3 linked regions of the Arabidopsis thaliana genome follow. Each later gene encodes a partner of the first gene's protein in a complex. Each region holds a gene or a part of one and is shown on either strand. Other genes may lie near its edges. The genes, in order: VPS54, POK and AT1G71300.

What was found.
Region 2: VPS54 (region 1) and POK share a complex: the UniProt entries of both Arabidopsis thaliana proteins name them as parts of the golgi-associated retrograde protein (GARP) complex.
Region 3: VPS54 (region 1) and AT1G71300 share a complex: the UniProt entries of both Arabidopsis thaliana proteins name them as parts of the golgi-associated retrograde protein (GARP) complex.

What each region holds. Positions count from the first base shown.
Region 1 is NC_003075.7:10,612,772-10,618,177, forward strand, and holds the start of VPS54 (VPS54), read left to right. Parts: upstream 1-2,924; 5' UTR 2,925-3,245; coding exon 3,246-4,079; intron 4,080-4,178; coding exon 4,179-4,241; intron 4,242-4,330; coding exon 4,331-4,410; intron 4,411-5,277; coding exon 5,278-5,398; intron 5,399-5,406. Other genes in the region: AT4G19470 (Leucine-rich repeat (LRR) family protein), read right to left, coding at 222-968, 1,020-1,429, 1,472-1,568; AT4G19480 (uncharacterized protein), read right to left, coding at 2,009-2,262, 2,413-2,545; AT4G19485 (uncharacterized protein), read left to right, coding at 2,049-2,352, 2,398-2,561. UniProt on the Arabidopsis thaliana protein: Acts as a component of the GARP complex that is involved in retrograde transport from early and late endosomes to the trans-Golgi network (TGN). The GARP complex facilitates tethering as well as SNARE complex assembly at the Golgi.
Region 2 is NC_003070.9:26,862,009-26,865,608, forward strand, and holds the start of POK (Vps52 / Sac2 family), read left to right. Parts: upstream 1-1,578; 5' UTR 1,579-1,727; coding exon 1,728-1,754; intron 1,755-1,854; coding exon 1,855-1,949; intron 1,950-2,049; coding exon 2,050-2,107; intron 2,108-2,279; coding exon 2,280-2,375; intron 2,376-2,511; coding exon 2,512-2,613; intron 2,614-2,768; coding exon 2,769-2,852; intron 2,853-2,938; coding exon 2,939-3,019; intron 3,020-3,416; coding exon 3,417-3,560; intron 3,561-3,600. Other genes in the region: ATWHY2 (WHIRLY 2), read right to left, coding at 159-247, 456-529, 613-707, 796-888, 982-1,085, 1,160-1,263, 1,352-1,383. UniProt on the Arabidopsis thaliana protein: Acts as a component of the GARP complex that is involved in retrograde transport from early and late endosomes to the trans-Golgi network (TGN). The GARP complex facilitates tethering as well as SNARE complex assembly at the Golgi.
Region 3 is NC_003070.9:26,871,215-26,876,620, forward strand, and holds the start of AT1G71300 (Vps52 / Sac2 family), read left to right. Parts: upstream 1-2,849; coding exon 2,850-2,935; intron 2,936-3,015; coding exon 3,016-3,133; intron 3,134-3,254; coding exon 3,255-3,368; intron 3,369-3,479; coding exon 3,480-3,581; intron 3,582-3,657; coding exon 3,658-3,741; intron 3,742-3,851; coding exon 3,852-3,932; intron 3,933-4,023; coding exon 4,024-4,167; intron 4,168-4,288; coding exon 4,289-4,380; intron 4,381-4,449; coding exon 4,450-4,531; intron 4,532-4,672; coding exon 4,673-4,855; intron 4,856-5,026; coding exon 5,027-5,142; intron 5,143-5,230; coding exon 5,231-5,289; intron 5,290-5,406. Other genes in the region: AT1G71280 (DEA(D/H)-box RNA helicase family protein), read right to left, coding at 1-26, 200-486, 512-599, 666-938; AT1G71290 (F-box associated ubiquitination effector family protein), read left to right, coding at 1,429-2,028. UniProt on the Arabidopsis thaliana protein: May be involved in retrograde transport of early and late endosomes to the late Golgi.

The sequences.
Region 1 (5,406 bases):
CTGTTTCGATCTTTGTAGACATCTGTTTGTGTTTAGGAAAGAGAACTTACACAACAAACATCCAATTACTTCTTCTTGAAAATTGTTTCAGAGTAGCCAATTCACTTGAAACTGATTCTGCAATTCACTTAAGAGATGGAACCAAGAATAAGATAGATTAAAAACATGATTCGACCTCTGTTTGAAACAAACCTTGACTGAAATCAGCTTTCTGAAATTAGTTATTTCCAGAGATGAGGCTTTGCTGGCTCCATGTAACTAAGAATAGAAGTTACAGAACAATCGTAATTACCAAAAGAGACGTCTTCCTTTATTCTTTTCCTGTTCAGTAGCTCTTCTTCTTGTACACATAAACGGCCTCTCTTGGACACAACAACTTTATCCAAGGCGGTTTCGTTTAGTTCTGTATCTTTTCCAGATATCTCTTTCTCAAGATTATTCTCGTGTAACCCATGCAACCTACAATCATTCTCATCTGGTGCATATAACAAGCTCATCCCGCATTTCACCACCTCACAGCAATCTAGTTTTCTTTTGGCTCTGCCATCAGTAACAAAAAATTTGAACGAGGCTGTGGTGTTGCAACATCTATTGAGATCATCGTTTTTCTTGGCATGGTAACAGTTGCTATAACTGATGAACACATGATCAGAGCTAAGTCTTCTTGATTCTTCATGGCTAGACGATCCACACTGCTCTTTCCATCCCCCAAGATTACATGTAAAGCTGATGTAATCACCGTCTTCGTTTCTGAACTTGCACTTGCATATCACGGAGAACCGGCTGGTTCTATCTTCATAGTCCTTGAAAGAGACAACCGTGCAGAGAGAAAGACCAATGAATTTATCGTCGCACCAGTGTGAAGGCAGGTTGGTTTCCATTGAAGATCCAATTCTCTGATGGCGGAACCATAGTGGCAAATCATTCCCTGGAAAACTTACAGCAGATAAAGGTTCCAAAACTAGTTCCTGGAAAAACCATTAAGGATAGCAATGTCACTGGAATAATAACAGAATAACCAGAGATTGGACCTTATGATTAAGTTGAAAAGATCTATTCGCCAGTATTTGACTCTTGAGCTGAGTATGAGCCACAATTTTTTCTTGTGCATCTCGGTTTAGCTTGTAGCAATCCGTGAATACGAAAGTAGAATGGGTCTTTTCAGCTATCACTAGAAGCGTCATGGGTTTTGAAACTGTTTCGAGTGAGATACAGCCATGAACATCCAAGTACTGATTTGATGGAAGCACTGGAAGAGAAATGAGATTTTTGCAATTCTTTAAGTAAAGAGATTTGAGATGATGAAGTTTCTTGATGCTTCCTGGTAGATTCTCGATACTGTTTCGGCTCAAGCATAAAGACTGCAGCGAGGATAAGCAGCTAAAATTGTCCGGGAATTTGTACAGATTACAATCTGTGAGATACATGTCTGATAACTGAGAGCAACCTGAGAAAGGCAGCAACTCCAAACCTCTGAAATCTTGGACTTTAGATCCACCAAACGAAAACAGCTTGAGATTACTCATACACATTGTTCTGGGAGTTTGTTTGATGGATGTATCATCCATTAGCAGAATCTCTAAGCTTCCCATGTTTGTTTGGGGATTCCATGTTTTACCAGATGCCCATGTTACATGCAGACAGGAGACTGCAACTTTGGTATTACAGTATGTGTAAATTCCATCATCCGAGTGAGAGAGAAACCCATGTCCTTGAGACCTCCTTAAGCTCCAAAGGCCTCCCTTCACGGACGGTGAGCCATTTCTTAAACTAGCAGTAGCAATCTAGCAGACGTTAGTTTTCTTTGCTTCAAACCTCATTCTTTTGAACTAACCAACACCAAAAGCTTGTTCGACTTCAAACTGAACTCTGTTTTTCTAATCTCATTACTATCATCTGTGTTTATCGCTTGCTCAATTTTTGCTCCAATCTTTCGACATGGAGAACCCGTGTGTACCTTATATTTTTACAGTGGAAACTGCAGCTCCGGTCCCACTTGTATCTTTGATCATCCGATGTTGGTATCAACACACAAGAACATATCTTCCATGGCTTCCGAGACACAGCACTTGAATCCGCTAGGATTGTCCTCTTCACTTGGGGCTTCATCAAGTGATATTGTGGAAGCATCAGCCAAGAAACCCAGAATATACAAGAACACTTCTTCCGTAGCGTCTGATACACCACACTCGAATCCATTAAGATTTTCTTCTCCAATTGGAGATTCATCAAGTGAGCTTGTGGAAAGATCAACTAAAGAAACTGTAATCAACAAGAACACACCTTCCATGGCTTCTGAGACTCTGCATGCTAATCCACTAAGATTTTATTCTTCCATTAGAGAGTCATCAAGTGATTGAAGTGAACTTGTGGAAACATCAGATTAGAAACCCATAGTGCATAAGAACACACCTTCCATGGCTTCTGAGACACCGCACTTGAAGTCGGTAGGACTTTCTTCTTCGCTTGGACCTTTATCAAGTGAGCTTGTGGAAGCATCAACTGTGTCTGAAGTCACACAAGAAACCGTTAGTAGAGGTGTCATTGAAGTGAAGACTTAAAATTTTTGTGGTTAAACAAAATGTTGTATTTTAAAATATTGTTCTTCTAATATATATTTTCTAATATTAACATATGCTTGATCCAAAAATTTCCATGAGTAATATATGAAAACAACATAATTAAGTAAAAAAAATACAAGGCATTTTTCCAAATTAACTCAAACAAAAATCCATAGGATATTTTTCAAAAGTATAAACAAAACAAGGCATTTTTCCAAATTAACTAATTAGAATATTACAAATTTTGTTAGAGAACTATTTGATTTATTGAATTGAAAAGATATTTGTAATATAGTAATATTAATTTTACTAGTAATGAAAATCAGTTATTCATAATTACAGAATCAAACTGACATTTATCCTTTTCTGTAGATGACGTGGATACCTAATGCACCGTCGATTAAATCTGCGTAGTGAAACCCCGCACTGCTCACAGCACCACCTCTCTCGAACCATCGAGTCTCGAACCCAGAGAGGACTTTCCTCAGTGAGTCCTCCGTTCCTTAGCTTCTCTTCCAGATCCAAACTCTCACCAAACTTTCTCACAACACACACACAATTCGATTCGATCCACACTCTTAAAATCCCAAAGATCTCTCTGATTTTGAAATTCGATTCTTCCCCAGATCAACTTGTGAATTTTTCCACAATTTTGGTTCATGATTTTGATTTCGTGAAGGACTTATGGATTCACACCCTTCCCTAATGGGAAGGTCCATTACCAATTCGAACCGATCGAGCTTAGATCTTGGTCGTCCTTCTTCGTCTTCTTCATCTTCTCCTTCACCGTTAACCAAATCGATCTCCGATGCAAGTAGTCAAAGTCTCTCTTCGATCCTTAACAATCCACACGGAGGTAAGTCTGGTGTTTATGGTTCCGATGCATCTTGGGTTGGTTGGTGGTCTTCATCGACATTTGTAGCTCCAGCTGAGTTTGCGCCTGTTGCTTCAACGAAGCTCCCTGGTTCGGAGCTAACCAGATCCGACTTCCATGGCTACGTTTCTTCGATCTCTGAGTCTCATGGTAGATTTGAGGATATTAGGAAGCATACTAGGGAAGAGAGCTGTGGGTTTGATCAGGAGAGCCATGTATCGGGTTTAGCTGCGTGTTTGCGTGAGGTTCCTTCGCTTTACTTTAAGGAGGATTTTGCTCTTGAGGACGGAGCTACATTTCGTTCTGCTTGCCCTTTCTCGAGCCTTAATGAGAATCTAGCGCTTCAAGAGAAGTTGTCACAGTATCTTGATGTGGTGGAGCTGCATCTTGTGAAGGAGATCTCTGTGAGGTCTGATTCGTTTTTTGAGGCTCAAGGACAGTTACAGGATTTGAATGTGAAGATTGTTGAGGGTTGTAGTAGGATTCGTGAGTTGAAAGAGACTATTCGGCTCCTGGATAGGAATTTGGTAGATTCAGCTCGACAGATTCAAGAGCTGAGCTCAACTAGGATTAATATGCTGGAGCTGCAACGTAAATTAAGACTTATTTTGTATGTTAACCAAGCTCTCTCTGCACTCAAATTGGTAATTTTTCTTACTGATTTGCTTAGAGTAGTGTCAATGTAGATACTTTTTTGTTTTTCCTATCTTTTATTGATGGAAGTTTGATTCTTTATTGTTCAGCTTGTTGCGTCCGCAGATTGTGCTGGAGCTTTGGATATAACTGACGATCTCCAGAACTTGCTGGTAAGTTCATCTGTGATTGATGTTGGATACTTTTAGACGATTAGGGTGCTCTTTCTTTAGAATGTAAAATGGATTCCTGTCTTTTTTAGGCTGGGGATGAGCTTACTGGTCTATACTGCTTCCGCCATCTTCGGGATCATGTTACTAGTTCCATAGATTCCATAAACAGGTGTGTCTCTTTTCAGGCTATGATAACTGACTATAATAGGCTGTATTTAGTCTGCCTGTAATGCTCTTTTAGGATGGATTGATTGGGAACAATGAGAGTAAGTCGGATCTTAACTGTGCAAAGTACCTTACCAAGTTTTTAGAGAAGTGGTGAAGATGTGAATTATTGACTATGTTTTTGAGTCTCGCTTTCGAGCGTCTTGAAATTCTTAGATAGTGAAGGCAGTCGATATTTGAAAAATGTTTGCAGGGTTTTGCAGCTCTGGTTTTTTTTTACCCTTCTACGTCCTTTTATTGACTTCTGGTTTATATATAGCAGATAGTCTCTCTATAATTTGCGAAGTCGCTGTTTCTTTGTAGATCAACCCTTTCATGTTACCCGTGTGCTTGGGCCATTTGCTGAGATTAAGTTTTATAACTGCCAATTGCGGTGGATAGTTTTACCGTCTGATGACTATGCATGCATCCAGGCTTGTAGCATTCTATTAGTAATCAATCATAACTTCTGAACTCTTAAACTTTCCCCTTAAGTTCTTGCATGCGGTAATGCCTTGCTGGCGGAATTACCCTTATTATGATAAATCTTGGTTTGCATTGAAATGTACTATGTTCGTCATTATTTTGATACTTCATTCATATTTTGTTACCTTCAAAAGGTGTAGAACAGTATACAACCTGTAGGCATTTGTATCAGTTAAATGTTTAGTATATTGATTTTCTTTGGTAGTGAATTGTTCCGTGAAAATTTTACTATAATGTAAGTTCACTTTCTATATGCAGTTATCTACCAGTCCTGTTTTCTCTATTATTTTCTTTTATTTGTTTATTTGGTCTAGTGCCTGATGGTTCATTGATTTTTTCTTTGTAGTATTCTCACTTCAGAATTCATGCGTATCTCCATACATGATACTGGGGAGATAGATGTACTGATTTTATCTGCAGCAAATATACGGGGATCCATTTCATCTAACGGGAATACCGGCGAAGAAGTAAGTCT
Region 2 (3,600 bases), on another chromosome or scaffold:
CACCAATATCCCTTGAAGAATATATACTTGATCCAGATTCATGTGCTAAAACTGACAGAGAAGCAATGCCCTTGGTTTTTCTAGTCAATGTTTTTGGTTCTCGAACTGATATAATAGTAACAGAATATAGAGAACGCAGAATAAAAATCTTATCTTACACTAAAAGCTGTCTTCATCACTGCAAATTCAGCTTTTGTGACAGGAACCACAAAATAGTCATTGGTTTTGAGGATGCTATTGTTAACGCCTGCAACAAAACCGCAGAAGGTAAGTGTTTATACAGCATTAAGAATTCAGCATTCCTATTGTTATAAGACAGCTATTCTGTGCGAAAACTGTTATCGCCATATTACAAAACTAATACAAGTGCAAGCTTCTAAATTTACTAAACAGAAAGCTCCCATAACTAAGTATTTCAGTACTGATTATCCATGTTAATTTGATAGAAGCCTTACTCAATGAGATGAAGTAGCCGCTACCATCTGCGTGGGGCTTAACTGACAGTGACTTCCTGACTTGACCAGCATTACTGAGGAGTCAAAGACAAGTCTATGTCAGAACATGAAAATGCTGCGATAAAAATATAATGTATTGAAGCAAAAAAAGACAAACCTTGATTTCATGGAAGGGTCATGGAAAAACTCGGAGCTGTCTTTGGAACCCATGCTAATTAAGGATCCAACTTCAGTAGGTGACAAAGCAAATTTCTGCAATAATGTAGGAAACAAACCAAATTTATCAGAGGAGAAAGAAGAGACAAGTGAAGAAGATAGAGAGTGTGAAAAAGATCAATACCTGTTTCTTTTCCCAGTCGTACTTACGCTCACCAATAGCAGGCATAAAAGTCATCATTAAGGATCCACGACGATCTATCCGAAGATTTCCCGACTAAACAATTGTACTCACAGTAAGTAATGAGAATCTAAAAGAAGCCTTTAAAGAGAACACACAAAACTAAAAAGAAATGGATTTTGGGCTTACATCGATTTCAGTGAAACTGGGAAGAACAGGTTCAACAGAGAGAGCAGCTTTTCCTTTGAAGATAGAATAAGGTGCGAACAATCGACCACTAGGCTTTGCGGCATCTTCTCAAATCAAGCAAACAAAATTAGGGCAAGTACACTTAAACTGACGAAACGGAAACAAACCAAGTTCTTACCTTTACCAGGGAATCCACGTCCAGGGGTTGAAGAATTTGACCAGCTTGCAAAACCACGCAACGTCGAAGCTTCGAAAAGTGACTTACTTTGGTCACAAAGGCTCCTGCTTTAACAAAAACAAACCAACCCAGAGAAGCCATTTTAAGAGTAATGAAATCTAAAATCTGAATTTTGAGAGGAACTGAAGTAACCTGGAGAGCAAAGAGCGGGCTTGCTTCATCATCTTCTTCTGTCTCGAGTAAAAAGCATCACTTGAGGTCTTCCGACTTCTGAGGTTTTATGATTTATCAAAACGGGTTTTATCGGGCGACCCATATTTTAACCCGTTTGTTTTATATATAAGTCTTTTAACGGCCCAATGGGCCTTTATTGTTGATTGGGAAATTAAAAATCAGATTAGAGAAGACGAACGAATCTGAGAAAGGTGAAGCTGAAGAAGAAGAAGAAGAAGAAGAAGAAGAAGAAGAAGAAGAAGAAGACTCTCTAATGGCGGACTCAAACTGATTTCGAGGATTCTGATTTCGTTTTCTAGTTGAAGATCTTTCAACTCTTAATCTCATTAGGAAGATGTCCGACATTTCCATTGACGCATTGGTACTTCATTTTTTTTGCATTCGTGATCTTCTAGCCTTAATCATGGATCCTTTATGATCTCTTGTCTAATTCGCTTTGCTCTTCTATCTGAAATTCATAGGGCCAAACTATGGGGGACTTTAGTAATCATGAGAAACTTGGATTTGATTTAGGAGCATTTGTTGGAGACTTGGCTTTTGAAGAAGATTCAGGCAGGTAACGTTCTCATGTTTTGTATCTTAATTCGACTATAACATATGTTTCTGCTTCTCTTTGTTCTTCTGATTAGAATGCTCTCCTTTGATTTGTTTGGCAGTGAGGATATTTCATTGGAAGGGCTTCAACAAGAACTTGAAGAATGTGAAAGTGATGAGGTAAGTTATTCACTTAACTGAGATCAAACTTATAAAGCTAGCACCTCGGTTCTTCTTTTTCGAAGTATTGTTTCTACTCTCATTTGAGTTACTTTGGAGTACATGGATTGATCATAGAATGTTAGATCCATGGATATGATGTCCTTTCTATCTTGTTTGTGTGAAATGTCAGGTTGTTGCCAATATACTGTCTAGTGGTGACAAACTTAGAGAATATGCAAAAGGGGTTGAAAACAATCTACGCAAGGTTGAATTGGATTCAATCGAGGTTGTTATTCTCTACCTGTGCTACATTGTGGCACTTGTTGTTTTCTACTTTTTATGTACTTCCGTCTATAAGTTCGGGAATTTCTTTGATATCGTAAGTAACTAACTTAAATGCTTTACATTCCATGAATACTCAGGATTACATAAAGGAAAGTGACAACCTAGTCTCACTTCACGATCAGATTCGTGACTGTGACAGCATCCTGTCACAAATGGAAACTCTTCTCAGTGGATTTCAGGTATTTGAAAATTAGACATTTATATAATTTGTGTGTATGTATGTGCTTCTTTCTCCTTATTCTGACTTTTGCTTAATGGGAGGAATTTTTTTACTTTGAAATACATATATTTTTTCCTGGTAATCTAAATGTGCACTTTGCTTCTTTTCTTTCAGGAAGAGATTGGTTCTATAAGTTCAGACATAAAGATTCTTCAAGAAAAGTCAATGGACATGGGTTTGAGATTGAAAAACCGCAGGGTATAGCTAATCAGAAACCACTATTGGTATTATCTCTTGCTGCTTTCACTCGTGACTCATCCAAATGAACTCTTCTATTTGAATAGGTGGCTGAATCAAAGCTAGCAAAATTTGTCGAAGACATTATAGTGCCACCAAAGATGATAGATGTAATTGTTGACGGAGAGGTATTTTTCAAATTCACTTTTTATGTAGCTTTGGTAGGGTTGGAGATTTGTAGGAATTTTGTAGGATCTCGTCATGTTGTATACATGTCTAATTTTTCTTTTTGTTTCTGGTGCTATAAGAATTACTGATTTGGTGCATATGTTGTAATCTGAAACATGGAGGAAAAATAGAAAAACAACATTTTCTGGTTAAGCTTGGTATATGCTTCCCCTATGTGCAATACTAAAATTTATTAAATTTTCTTCATTTTGTTTTCTTACACCATTTAGTCCTATCTTTATGTCCCCTGAGTACGTGTTTTTTTTGTAAAACCATAGTGGTGCATTTAAGCCTAGGTTGGATTGCTGAGGGTATTTTTATTGCTAATCTGATAGTCGTATTATTTTCCTTATTCAGGTGAATGAAGAGTATATGAAAACGCTTGAAATTCTGAGTAAGAAGCTAAAATTTGTAGAAGCAGATCAGGCAGTTAAAAGTTCCAAAGCGTTAAAAGATGTAGAGCCTGAGCTCGAAAAGCTTCGGCAGAAAGCTATTTCCAAGGTTATTGATCTACTTTCTCTGTTACTTGATACCAAAAACT
Region 3 (5,406 bases), on another chromosome or scaffold:
TTTTGATCTGCTTCGCATTTCAAATACTGCAGAGGCACGAAGAAGAAATAAACTTACTATCCCGAAACACATATACGTATATAAATATTGACCTTACAATAATAATACCTCACAATACAGACCAGAAGGCGTTTTCGACTTTGACTCATCTCCCAATCTAACTTCCGTAACGTTCCTAAGCTCCCGATCTAACTCTCACAGGATTCCTAAGGCCAGCCTTGGCCAGGTCTGCAACAGCTTGTGTTTGTGTAGCTGAAAAGAGGCCAGTCCTACGTTGCTTTGGCAAGCGAGATATAATGTAATTGACCTGCTTCTGGAACCCCATATCCAAAAGTCTATCGGCCTCATCTAAGATAAGAATCTCGAGATTTCGAAAATCCAGAAACTCCATTCGTTTCATCATATCTGAAAGCCTTCCAGGGGTGCCGATCAAGAGATTGGCTCCTTCTTCTTCGAGAGTATTCATGTCAGCTTCCACCTCTCGACCTCCAACAAGCAGGACAGAGTTCACATTTGGCAAAGTCGAGACGAACGGCTCTTGCCACCTTATGTATCTGCGCTGATAGCTCTCTCGTTGGCGATATAATCACCCCCATTACCTGAGATTGAAATTGTTAACATATAGCATAAGCTACTACTCTTGATATTCGGCTAATTCTCCTTACCTGGTGTGGCTTCGGAGGGTAGGAGTTGGATCGACGGATAATCTCTATGAAGGGAAGGAGGAAAGCTAGGGTTTTTCCAGAACCAGTGGCTGCGTCGACGACAACATCCTTGTGGCTGCAGAGGAAAGGGATCGTCTCGGCCTGAACCGGAGTGCAGACCTCGAAACCGGACCGGTCAAGCGCCTCGATGATATCTTCTGAGAGCGGAGGTTTGAGTTCAGAGAAACGCGGCGGCGCCTCCTCGATGATAGTGTTCGGTGGCGATGAATCCATGACGGCCGCCGCTTGCTTGTTGCTCACTCCAGCTTTATTTTTTAGACCTACAGCAAAATTTTGTTCGAATTAGGTAGTTTTTGGTCCAGTTTCTACTAAAGCCCACTAAGAGAAGAGATACATCTCTCGGCCCATTGTTAAAGTAAAGCTCTAGTCATTGCTTAAAAGAATACCTCTAAACATTGACATTTGACAGTAACAAACTCGGAGAGCATTCAGAGATCTACAAACAGATATTCTGTCACGGTTACCTCTGAAATCATTGGTGAAATGTATCTTGTCTAAAAGAAGTTGGCATCTTTAATCCGCTCGAGAGCATTCAGAGATCTTACTTGCGCCGATCGATGACGACAAGGCCTCGATTGTCGTTCATCAACTTCCCCGTTCGGACGTGATGGTGTGTTTCACTCTGTTTATCAAGAAGAGGAACCACTGTGTAATATCACAGTACGGAGATGGTAGGCGTTCTAGGGAATATCAGGTATACACAATGACGGTGGGATCAGGTGAAGAATCTAATTCTTGGAGAGTGATCACATGTAAGCATGATCATTCACCAGTTACTGAAGGACTATGTAAAGGAGGTTTCTTGTATTATGGAGCTGATGAGTCCAATAGTGACAAATCTGTGGTAGTGAGCTTCAACGTGAGTTCTGAAGAGTTTAGCGTCATTGAATTGCCTGAGGAAGTCAAGATTGATCATCGTTGGAGATTGGTGAACTACAATGGGGAAGTTGCCTTAGTAGATGACTCTGAGTTTGACTTTGGTATTGTGAAAGAACCGAATGGCAATGGAGTATTTGAATTGTGGGTAAGGAACGAAACTGATGGAACTTGGTGGAGAAACTGCATTGAGATTCCTCATTGGGAACAACATGTTGGAAATATGGAGTTTTTCTTCAAAGGTACCATTGGAACTGGAGAACTTGTGTTCGCTCAAGACTCTGTGATTGAGAGATCATTCTATGTGGTTTATTATGATACAGTCACACAAAATCTCAGAAGATTTACGATTGAAGGTGTAGCTAGAGATCAGCTTCATGATGTTCGAACCTTCTTGGATCATGTTGATAGTACTTGGCTTATGTGAAGAACAAGAGTTAGGTTGTTATATATATGCGAGAATCAGATTTTGAGTTTTTACAAAATCTATTAAAATTTGGAGATCTTAACTTCTTTTTTCTCGACAATATCTGTAAGAAAATAAAATAAAAATAGACATTTGTTGGTATCACAAAAATAATATAGACCTCCTTGGTATTTGCGTATCCTCTCATCTATATCGCCAGTGGCTCCGTGGCCTTCAAATCAATTCTCAAATTTTGTATATATATATACTAAGATTAAGATTTGACTATTGTTATAACCATTGGTGTTTCTCCAGAATTTGTACAGCAACATGCCCACTAACTCATTGGTAAGCTGGCACTTCGTTTTCGCTCTAAATTTGATTTGCTGAGTTCTAAAGCCTTTTGGATCATGATGTTATTGTTATGGTTGTTTTACTTCTTTTGCGGGTTCGATCTCTCATCGAAGTTTGGGTCTATTCTCTTTGCTCTTCCTCTTCTAACTAAAAAAACATAACGTTACCATCGACTAGGGTTTTTGGTGATTTTTCGTTTTTCTCATGATTAAGATTGGTTTTGAGGTTTTTCCCTTTTCAATTAGGATTTCTAGTAATGATATATTGTAAGGCTTTAAGTTGGATTGTTCCTTGTCTGTATATAAAGTCCCTTTATGATCAATAAGAAATCAAACAATTAACCCTAACTCTCTCTAAGAGCGACTTGCGTTAAAAGGAAGCTTGCTAAAATCTTTCTCACGTTAACAAACTGCACGAAACCGAAATCACAGGCTCATATCAAGTCTCTTATCGAAGTTTGTGTCTATCTAAAAACATAGGGCCAAGCTATGGACGACTTCAGTAATCTTGAGAAACATGAATCTGAATTAGGAGCATTCTTTGGAGACTTGGCTTTTGAAGAGGATTCAAGAAGGTAACATTCTCATGTCTTTTCTGTTTACCTTAATTCGAGTTTGACATAAGTTTCTGCTTCTCTTTATTGTTCTGATTTAGAATGCTCTCCTTTGGTTCTGTCTCATTCATAAAATCGACATTACTCTTTTTGTTGGGCAGTGAGGATATATCATTGGAAGGGCTTCAACAAGAACTTGAAGAATGTGAAAGTGACGAGGTGAGAAAAAAAAACTGAAAGTGAACAAAGTTTTTTCCAGTATCATATCTACTCCGTTTTGACTTACTCTGTACATGGATAGAAGTTTTGATCCAAGGCTATTTTTCTTGTGAAAGTTCAGGTTGTTGCCAATATACTGTCCAGTGGTGACAAACTTAGAGAATATGCCAAAGGTGTTGAAAACAATCTACGGAAGGTTGAATTGGATTCAGTTGAGGTTGCTATTCTCTTACCTGTGATACATTGTGGCACTCGTTGTTTTCTACTTTTCATGTAACGTATTTTGTTCCTTGTACAAGTTTAATATCGTAATTTACTAATGTTTCTACCCTCCATTAATACTCAGGATTACATAAAAGAAAGTGATAAACTAGTCTCACTTCACGATCAGATTCGTGACTGTAACTGCATCTTGTCACAAATGGAAACTCTTCTCAGTGGATTTCAGGTATTTGACAATTTATATAGTTTGTGATTCTTTCTCCTTAATCTGAATGCGCACTTTGCTTCTTCGTTTCTTTCAGGAAGAGATTGGTTCTATAAGTTCAGACATAAAGATTCTTCAAGAAAATTCAATGGACATGGGTTTGAGACTGAAAAATCGAAGGGTATATAGTCATATCAGAAACCACTATTAGTATTATCTCTTTCTCCTTCAACCTCGGTGGTATTTTCTTATGTGTGTTACTCATCAAAACAAGCTCTCCTATATGAACAGGTGACTGAATCAAAGCTAGCAAAATTTGTCGAAGACTTTATAGTACCACCAAAGATGATTCATGTAATTGTTGATGGAGAGGTATCTTTTCAAATTCCCTCTTTCTATGTAATTGTTGCTTTGGTAGGATTTTTATTTCTAATCTGATAGTCTTGCTATTTTCTGTATTCAGGTGAATGAAGAGTATATCAAAACACTTGGAATTCTGAGCAAGAAGCTGAAATTTGTAGAAACAGATCAAGCAGTTAAAAGTTCCAAAGCATTAAAAGATGTAGAGCCTGAGCTTGAAAAGCTCCGGCAAAAAGCTATTTCCAAGGTTGTTAATCTACTTTCTCTGTTACTTGATTCGTAACAATTATGTCTTTGTTTGTTCTGTTCCAATGCTTCCAAGGGCATGCACGTCGAGGGAGCAATTCTCATTTATTTCCGTTTTGCAGGTTTATGATTTTATTGTTCAGAAGCTTATAGCCCTGAGGAAACCCAAAACAAACATTCAGATTCTTCAACAGAGTGTGTTTTTAAAGTACAAGTGAGTCATGCACCCTTTTACTTTGGTTTTTTTACGTACTTCATTTACCAAATTACATTTTGATCATAGGTATATTATCTCCTTCCTCAAAGAACATGGAAAAGAAGTGTTTATGGATGTCCGCGCTGCATACATAGATACCATGAACAAGGTACTTCTTCTTTTCTTGTATTCTCACTAGAGCTATAATGATTAGATGATGTATGCAGGTTAGATTGAACAAGCTTTATGTTATGGGTTAGGCTTTCAGTTGTTAATGTTACACCTAATATAATGTGAGATCTGGTTTCAGGTGCTAAGTGCACATTTTCAGTCTTATATTCAAGCATTTGAGAAACTACAGTTAGATATAGCCACATCAAACGACTTGATTGGTGTGGACACTAGAAGCACTGGCCTCTTCTCAAGATCTAAGGAGCCACTAAAGAACCGTTGTGCCGTTTTTGCTTTGGGTGAGAGGATACAAATTATAAAGGTATTCATCATTTATCCAGTGATTATATTTTTTCAGACCATTGAGCATGATTTGGCGAATTCGTTAGTTCCACGTTCACTTGATATTTTCCTGTATTTCTTATCGTTGACTTGGAGGTATTATATCGCAAGAGTTTGTTAAAAGACTTAAGTTTCACTATGTATGATGTAGGAAATTGATCAACCTGCTTTGATCCCGCACATAGCCGAAGCCAGCTCTCTCAAGTATCCTTATGAAGTGCTCTTCAGGAGCTTGCACAAGCTACTTATGGATACAGCTACTTCTGAGTTCTGTTGATCTTTCCTCTTTTCTATTTGTGTTATTGTTTCTCACCACCCACCCCCTTGTTAACGTCATTTGTTTTCATTTTGACAGGTATATCTTTTGTGAAGATTTCTTTGGTGAACAGTCTATATTTTATGAAATATTTGCGGGTAAGTTTTAATCTTTCCTCCTTTTTCTATACCAAACTTTGTAGTCAGAATAGTTGTTACAAATTTTTATATGGTACTTGAGTAGTGTGTAAGAAATATTGTCTTACGCAATTTTTT